Chlamydomonas reinhardtii: one gene and its partner. Each later gene encodes a partner of the first gene's protein in a complex. Each region holds a gene or a part of one and is shown in the gene's direction. Other genes may lie near its edges. The genes, in order: CHLRE_10g422600v5 and CHLRE_10g450400v5.

The links.
Region 2: the proteins of CHLRE_10g422600v5 (region 1) and CHLRE_10g450400v5 are in contact, whole or in part, in a cryo-EM structure (PDB 9F5X), measured with the Chlamydomonas reinhardtii proteins. Residues at the interface, in XP_001702590.1 of Chlamydomonas reinhardtii: Asp58, Glu59, Arg61, Phe63, Gln64, Asn65, Ile66, Tyr67, Arg69, His70, Met78, Ser79, Arg80, Gly81, Tyr84, Met85, Glu88, Ile89, Lys92, Trp96, Gln100, Tyr133, Glu142, Pro143, Gly144, Thr145, Cys146, Arg149, Glu150, Arg153; in XP_001698508.1 of Chlamydomonas reinhardtii: Thr42 (codon at 1,486), Arg79 (codon at 1,705), Tyr80 (codon at 1,708), Pro81 (codon at 1,711), Tyr84 (codon at 1,720), Gln86 (codon at 1,726), Ser87 (codon at 1,729), Ile89 (codon at 1,735), Ile90 (codon at 1,738), Pro91 (codon at 1,741), Asp94 (codon at 1,750), Val95 (codon at 1,753), Glu125 (codon at 1,843), Val126 (codon at 1,846), Phe129 (codon at 1,855), Tyr130 (codon at 1,858), Thr131 (codon at 1,861), Met132 (codon at 1,864), Phe133 (codon at 1,867), Gly147 (codon at 1,909), Thr148 (codon at 1,912), Thr149 (codon at 1,915), Pro150 (codon at 1,918), Arg152 (codon at 1,924), Leu153 (codon at 2,334), Gln154 (codon at 2,337), Glu184 (codon at 2,427), Met185 (codon at 2,430), Glu186 (codon at 2,433), Cys187 (codon at 2,436).

What each region holds. Positions count from the first base shown.
Region 1 is NC_057013.1:715,128-718,819, reverse strand, and holds the end of CHLRE_10g422600v5 (uncharacterized protein), read left to right. Parts: intron 1-147; coding exon 148-242; intron 243-407; coding exon 408-573; intron 574-804; coding exon 805-881; intron 882-1,143; coding exon 1,144-1,236; intron 1,237-1,509; coding exon 1,510-1,629; intron 1,630-1,942; coding exon 1,943-2,047; intron 2,048-2,325; coding exon 2,326-2,409; 3' UTR 2,410-3,012; downstream 3,013-3,692. Other genes in the region: CHLRE_10g422550v5 (uncharacterized protein), read left to right, coding at 3,272-3,692. UniProt on the Arabidopsis thaliana protein: Core subunit of the mitochondrial membrane respiratory chain NADH dehydrogenase (Complex I) that is believed to belong to the minimal assembly required for catalysis. Complex I functions in the transfer of electrons from NADH to the respiratory chain.
Region 2 is NC_057013.1:4,251,082-4,255,314, reverse strand, and holds CHLRE_10g450400v5 (uncharacterized protein), read left to right. Parts: upstream 1-1,284; 5' UTR 1,285-1,362; coding exon 1,363-1,563; intron 1,564-1,671; coding exon 1,672-1,925; intron 1,926-2,332; coding exon 2,333-2,489; intron 2,490-2,795; coding exon 2,796-2,891; intron 2,892-3,079; coding exon 3,080-3,220; 3' UTR 3,221-3,839; downstream 3,840-4,233. Other genes in the region: CHLRE_10g450350v5 (uncharacterized protein), read left to right, coding at 4,099-4,233. UniProt on the Arabidopsis thaliana protein: Core subunit of the mitochondrial membrane respiratory chain NADH dehydrogenase (Complex I) that is believed to belong to the minimal assembly required for catalysis. Complex I functions in the transfer of electrons from NADH to the respiratory chain.

The sequences.
Region 1 (3,692 bases):
GCGAAGCATGGGGCAGGACGTGCGCGAGCGTTATTGATCTGCCGCAGGCTCGGTTGTGGTGGCTGTGGCTGTACTGTTTGTCAACCGCTATGTGTCTGTGTGGTGCACTCCGCCGCCGCCGCCGCCGCCTTGTCCTGTTCCCCACAGGCAAGCAGGGCAAGCCCCGCCTCAAGCCCCCGTTCCCCGCGGGTGTGGGCCTGTACGGCTGCCCCACCACCGTGACCAATGTGGAGACCGTTGCGGTGAGTGGGGGAAGCAGGGAGCCGGGGCATGCGGGATGCTGCTGGTAGGTTGCCTGCGAGTATGCATCATGAGGGAAAGGCGAGGTTGCGAGTGCCCCCGCCCAGGGCGAAAAATGTCCTCAATGCGCGTGTGCATGTGCTGCGTGGCCTGGGACATTTTTGCAGGTGAGCCCCACCATTCTGCGCCGCGGCCCCGAGTGGTTCAGCTCTTTTGGCCGCAAGAACAACGCCGGCACCAAGCTGTTCTGCATCAGCGGCCACGTGAACCGGCCGGTGACGGTGGAGGAGGAGATGTCCATTCCGCTCAAGGAGCTCATCGAGCGCCACGCGGGTGAGAGGAGGGGCAGGGAGGATGCCGGAGGTGGCGGTTTACGTTGCATGTTGCGTGTAGGATGCACGAAGGGAAGGTGTGTGTGATTTCGTTTGTCGCCGACCATGGTGCTGGACTGCTGCTGGTGGCCGGGGTGTGTCCGGTCGCGGCATTCGCCCAACGCTCTGGCGCTCCTTCCACCCACGCACCCACCCGCCCATGGGTGGCCACCGCCTCCTCTCCCGCCTGCAGGCGGTGTGCGCGGCGGCTGGGACAACCTGCTGGCCATCATCCCCGGAGGCAGCTCCGTGCCGCTGCTGCCCAAGAAGGTGAGGAGGCCGCGGCCGCGTTGGGGCTGGCGGCGGCCGTGGTTGCATGGGCGGAGGGGGGTTTCCGTAAGACTACGGTACACAACAAGGGGTATGATTACGGTACACAGAAAGGGGTCGTAGGACGCCTGGACGCGCTTAGGTGCTGTACCTCGCGCTCCCTCCACATGCCCCTCCTCCTGCGCTCCCTGCCCGGGTGCCTGGCTACAACTCCGCTTTTTCTTGATTCGTCATGATTGTAACCCCCGCCCCCCCCCCCCAGATCTGCGACGGCGTGCTGATGGACTTCGACGCGCTCAAGGAGGCGCAGTCGGGCCTGGGCACCGCCGCCGTCATCGTCATGGACAAGTCCACCGTGAGTGCCGTGTGGGATGTGGACGGATGTGGAGGGATGCGGAGTTACTGTACTGCTGGCGGGAGGGGCTGGGGAGGCGCTGTTGGGGCTGTGGGGCGTGGGGGAACGTGAAGGCGCCGTCTGTGGCCAAGTTGAAGGCTTGCTTTGGCCCTCTCTGCAGTATCTACGGTGGCTTGTTTGTGGTGACAGGGCGTGCAGTGCAGTTTGTTGCTGCCGCACCTCGAACCTGACTGTCCGCCCGCCGCATACACGCACACACGCACACGGCCGCAGGACGTGATCGACGCCATCGCGCGCCTGTCCTACTTCTACAAGCACGAGTCGTGCGGCCAGTGCACGCCCTGCCGCGAGGGCACCGGCTGGCTGTACGACATCATGACGCGCATGAAGAAGGTGGGAGCGGCGTGCTGGAGGGGGGGGTGGGAGCGAGGGGGGGTGGGAGCGAGGGGGGTGGGAGCGAGGGGGCATGTGCGGGGGTCCTGCGGGCCTTCCTGCGGCTGGTCCTGTGGGGCTCCTGCGTGCGCACCTCTGTATGTGTAGGCAGGGGTGCTACTATCAAGTACAGTGCAGGGAAGTGCGCGCCAGGGGGTGCTACATTGCACACGTTCCCTAATGGTGCACATGCATGCGCCCTGAATGCTGTTTGCTCTTTCCACCACCTGAGTATGTGTACATGCGTCGTGCACCCTGGTGTGCGTGTCTCCAGGGTGACGCCCGCCTGGAGGAGATCGACATGCTGTGGGAGATCACCAAGCAGATCGAGGGACACACCATCTGCGCGCTGGGCGACGCCGCGGCGTGGCCCGTGCAGGTGCGGCTGCTGGAGGAGGCCGGGTCGGGAGCAGGGGTCGGCTGCGATCTGTGGAATGCCATATCATCGGGCGGTGGCGAGGCGGGTTGTGGGAGCGAGGCACGTCCCGAGTGTTGTACGAGGCGGGCGGGCCATGTTGTGCGGTCGCGCATGCCGGCTAACCTGCGCTTGGCTCCTCCTGCCCTAACTTCACACGTGTGGTCTCCTGCGCACTCGCTCTCACCGCGCGTGTTTGTCTCCGTGTGCTCACTGCTATGTCTCCCTGCTCCCCCATTCAGGGCCTGATCCGCCACTTCCGTGGCGAGATGGAGGAGCGCATCAAGAGCGCCGGCGGCAAGAAGAAGCTTGCCGCGACCGCGTAAAGCCGCGCAGTTCTGCTTCCTGATCAGCAGACGTGGACTCGGTTTCAGGGCGATGGAGCTTGGGCCGTGTGTGGCGGGCAAGAGCAGCGGGAGTGGAAGCGGTTGGGGATGAGCGGCAAAGTGGCGACGGAGGCATGTGCGTAGCGGCCTTCGTCGGGCGTTGGTGGGTGGGTGCGGTGGGCATATCGGCCGTGTCGGCCTGACGGTGCAGTGGCGCAGCAGGGACGGTGCAAGCGCCTGCCTGGCAGTCGTGGTGGGGACGAAGCGCATCTCAAGGTGGGAGGTGGGAGAAGAGATGGGTTGGTGCGTGTAGGCACCACACTGGGTGGGGGTGTTGCGTTTGTGGCGAACGCCTTCAATGGGTGCGTGGCTTAACAACGAGATCAAATGTAGTAGCTTGTCGTGACTGTAGGTAGACTTTAATGCTTGCGCATGCCGGCATGCGTGTAAGGCGAGTTAGTGTACTGAAGCATGCGGGCGGCATGGCTTCACGAGCCGGCCGCGGCTGATTGTGTCGGTATGAGCGTGAGGCAACACAGATTGCAGCAGGGTATAGTGCGACGGCAGTGTGGCTTGAGGATAGCCATGTAAAGGTTCATAGATTGCTAGGTGCTGAGGTGGTTGCTTGGTTCCTCCCGGAGTCCCGACACCTGGTCCGGTACGATCCCCAAACCCTACGCCACTACGCCAGCGACCTAGCCTTTTCAGTCCCAGTTCATCGGCTTTGACCGTTCATGGACTTCTGCCTAAGCCTTGAGCCTAAGCATTGAGAAAGGCTGCACCAGCACTGAACCGCGCGTTATAATTCGAACGTCAGTACCGCGCAATCTACTGCGTCTTAACGATTAAAATATAGTATAGTATGGACCAGTGGTCGCTACTAACGCCGGAGCTGCAGCTGGAGGTCGCGAGCCACTTGCCGCCCGGCGAAGTGGCGGGATGTCTCAAATTCGTCGACTGGGCCACCTACCGCAACCTGCACAGCACCTATGAGACCATTCGCCTGACAGATGGTGAACCCTGGCCGGCACAAGCTTTCCTGCTTTACTGGGGCCGTTCGGAGTGGCCCTGGCGGGGGCTCCGCGTACTGCAGCGGCGGAAGCTGCTGTGCCTGGCTGCCGGCAGCGGCCATGCCCCCAGCCTGGCGGCCGCGCTGTCGTACTGTGGCTGCAGCCTGCGTGCCGAGGTGATGGCGGCGGCTGCGGCTGCAGGCGACGTGGCGGCGTGCGAAACGCTGCTGGAGGCCGGCTGCTGCTGGGGCAACGTCGTAACCATGGCTGCAG
Region 2 (4,233 bases), about 3.5 Mb from region 1:
GCACCAAGCGCATCCTGCTTTTAGAGGGCAGCACGACTCGGCAAACGTGTAACATAAACCGTTGATTCACGCGTGTACTTGCGCTTTGGAAGTCTTGCGCATCTTTGAACGTGTGTGTATGTGTGTGGGGTGGGGGGTGGGGGGGCTCGGGTTTTGGTTGGCAGTGGGTGCAGGGGGGGATAATCTGTTGGCAGCCGCTGCACTGGCTGCAGTGTTGGCAGGGGAAGCACTTCTTAAGCATGAGGTGGCAAGGGAACATGGGCAGGGGGCTTCGTGACGTCGGGCAGAGTGAAGGACATACGCAGCAGTGAAAGCTGAGCCAGGAGTGTCCACTGTACACGTTGCATCGAACGTGTAGGGGGGGGATTGAGTTTGCTAACACCTGCGCGATCGAGAGTTGCGCAAGCAAACCTTGGCCTTGGACCGTGTGCTGGACAGGACACTGCACGCAACCACCTTCGCAATACAGGAAAAGGTAATAGTCACGATGAGCTCTGACAGTGGCGCGGGTCTTCCGCACGACCTGACACGACCCGGCCGACGAGCGTTTGCTGGTCGTGCGTGAGCAAATACCTCTTAGTCCTGCCTTTTACCTTGTGACAATACGACACAATGTCTCAAGGGGTGATAGCGCCAGCGGCAGCGCCCCGTCGACGAGCGCTGACGAGCGCTGCTGGCGCACAGGTCAGCTGTCAGTATTCACTGTCACCGCGCGCCTCCGCGCGTGAATCAAGACTTGCGCTTGCAGCGGGTTGATTGTTGAGCAAGCGGGTTGAGTGACCGACCGCACATGCGTGCGTTATCCACGCTGAACTGCCACGGAACCCTCGCGGCCTGTCCCTGCCTGCAAGGGCGCGTTCTTACTTCTTACCCTTATCACGCCTATCGCCTCACGTCAGAGGGCGGATCCGCGCACTAGAGGAGCAAACAGGGCGCCCGACGCAGCTCCTCTATGCTGCGATGCAGGGCGCCTTGTTTGCTCCTCCAGGGCGCGGATCCGCCCCCCGGACCTCCCCGCACACGGCCCTTGCCGGCCTTCGCAGCTTCGCCTGCTCATCGCACGCTGCACGCCGACACATGTCGCTCCTGTCTTGGTGCCGATATCATGCTTTTCGAACTCTTCACCATTGTGGCAATGCACTGCCCCGCTGTCGTCAATAGCGGGGAAGGGGGAGGGTGAGAAGCGGCTGGCCGTGGCCGCGCGGGTACGGCGTGCCGATTCCGGCGACCGGTCGTGCCACGATGCCACTTTGCCGCCAGGTCGCACAGGTGTGTTAACGTAGTCTAGGTGCATAGGGGCTTGCAAGAGCTTGACTAGTGCCGGCCAAGGCGACTCAGGAGAGGCACCAATTTCGCGACAAAATGCTGTCTAGGGCCCTGCTCCTCGCAGGGCGCCTCGCCGCGACTGGCCAGCAGCAGGCAGCTAGCACCTCGTCTCGCGCTGTCCAGCCGCTAGGCTCGCTGCTGCAGCGGTGCAACTTTGCCACCAACTCGACCGATATCTTCAACATTCACAAGGACACGCCAGAGAACAATGCTGCGACCAGCTTTGAGTTTAGCGAGGCAAGCGAAAGAGAGGCGTGGAAGGGCTGTCAGGCACACACAGAAGGAAACGCGTGCATCAGCCCAACACTCTCTACCTGCTTGACCTGGTGCGCACCGTGCATGCAGGCTACTCTGAAAGTTGTCAACGATATCATCGCGCGGTACCCGCCGAACTACAAGCAGAGCGCCATCATTCCGGTGCTGGACGTCACGCAGCAGGAGAACGGCGGGTGGCTGAGCCTCGCGGCCATGAACCGTGTGGCTAAGCTGCTGGACATGGCGCCCATCCGCGTGTATGAAGTGGCCACCTTCTACACCATGTTCAACCGCACGAAAATTGGCAAGTACCACGTGCAGATTTGCGGCACCACTCCTTGCAGGTAAGCAAAGGGTGTCGCCTCCCAGTGGAGGGGCTGCTGGGTTAGCCGGGCACAGCGGCGGCGGTGCAGGGCCACGTCGAGGAAGGTGAAGGGGGAGGAGGGAAGGCGGGCGTGGAGGGAGACAGAGCACGGGGACTGGGTTCGTCCGGCACGCGGGGCGTGCGGTGTCGCCTACGAACAGCGGGGTCTGCAGCGCCATCCACAGGCGTGCCGGAGCGCTGGCATGCCGGGGCCCCAACCATATTCGGCCTTCACGGCTGGACTCCGGACGCCCGTGCCAGTGGGCCCTTGCCCAGCCCCCGCGACTGCATACGCACATGCGCATCGCGTCGCCCAACCCCACTCACCCGGAACCTGGGCTTCCCTCCATCTGCGCCTCTCATTCTTAAACACACACACGTACACAGGCTGCAGGGCTCCCAGAAGATTGAGGAGGCCATCACCAAGCACCTCGGCATCGGCATCGGCCAGACCACGCAGGACGGGCTGTTCACACTGGGCGAGATGGAGTGCATGGGCGCTTGCGTGAACGCGCCCATGGTGGCCATCGCCGACTACACCAAGGTGCGGAGGAGCGTTGGAGCGCGTGGGAGTGCGGGGTGTTGGGTGTGCGGGATAGCGAGGGGTAGCGACGCTAGGGGCTGAGGTTGCAGCGCAGTACGGTATGTGCTCGTTTAGGTTTATGGAGTAGTGTACGTCGCGCGTGGGAGCGGCTGGGCGCGTGCTATAGCCAGGATTTGTCGGCTGGCCGTCATTGCACAACCGGCCTGCCCCGCCCATTCAGTGCGCGAGTCTTATCGTAAACCGCTGCTGCCAACGCGCCCCTTGTGTGCTTGCATCTAAACTACCACTGCTGCCGCACGGCTGCAGGGTGTGTCGGGCTTTGAGTACATCTACTACGAGGACCTGACGCCCAAGGACATTGTCAACATCCTGGACACCATCAAGAAGGGAGGCAAGCCCAAGGTGCGCGGGCGGGGGAGATGAGGGGCCGCAACCGGGCATGAGCGCGGGGCGCCCGCACAGGTCTGCGGTGCGTGCACTGTGGGGATGGAGGCTCGCGACACGGGTCGCATTGCGGCCGGGTGCATTGCCCTGCACACCCGCAACCCTCCAACGACCGCTTCGCTGCCCCTTTTCCTGCCTCATCGCAGCCTGGGTCTCAGTACCGCTTGAAGGCGGAGCCCGCCGGCGCCGTGCACGGCGGCGAGAAGTGGGTGCCCAAGGACGGCGAGACCACGCTGACGGGGGCACCCCGCGCGCCCTACTGCCGTGACCTGAACGCCACCGCGTAATCGGCCGTGCTCGTGGCGGTGGAAGATATGGCAAGCGTGCGGGCGTGCTGTGGGATGCAGCGTGTCTGGAGCGGCGGAGGGCGGGCCAAAATGGTCCATGGTGTGGGTGTGGAGGTCGTGGTGGCGGTATGCGACGGCAGCTCTTACGGATGGCAGGGTGCGCTGGGCGCTCAGGTGCCACATTGGCGGAGTGCCGCAGGAGGTGTGGCTCTTGCAGAAGGGCAGTGGCTTATGTCTGACTAGAATTTAGCTTAGAATGGACTTGAGGGGTATGTGTGAGGAGCTTTTACGTATGTGTGGGGCTTTATGTGGATACGTGCGTGGACGCAAGCAGGAAGAACATGTGACTAGCTTTGTACGGGCATGCCGGCGCAGGGTTGCCGCCTTGCAGGAAAAGCTTCGACTTTGTACGGGCATGGCGGCGCAGGGCTGACGCCTTGCAGAAAAAGCTTCGACTTGAATGGAGGCCACACGATTTCCTTTCCGCTCTGGTCTACGTACGCATTAGTTCCGCAACGCACGTCGACAACGATTGCCTTGGAACGCCAGCGAGGCTGGGCGAGCACGGTGGTGCGCGTCTGGGCCTGCAGCATTCCCATATGCAGCTTGGGTCATATCATAGTCTTGTTCGTGTGCGCCGGTCGGGTCAGGGGTAAATCCAAGCGGCATCTTGCGCCACGGCGCCAAGGGGGGAGGGGGGGACTGCACGATCGTGCAGGCCTCGGCTGGAAGACTCCATGCACACCCAGACTGGCGTTGCTATCATACCATAGCTTAGCTACTTGGCTCTATCAAGTTTTACGTTGTTGACACTCGGCAATACCAGCCTCGAAGCCATTTGAACCTCTGCAGAACTTGACTGACCGCCTAGCAGCACAATGAAGGACTATGCGAGAGAGGAAAATGGAGGTCTCGTTGTCATGGCCTCGTGTAGCGATGAGCGCTTCCCTCCGGAAAACATGCTGGACGGGAAGGACAACACCTTCTGGGTAACCACCGGCATGTTCCCGCAA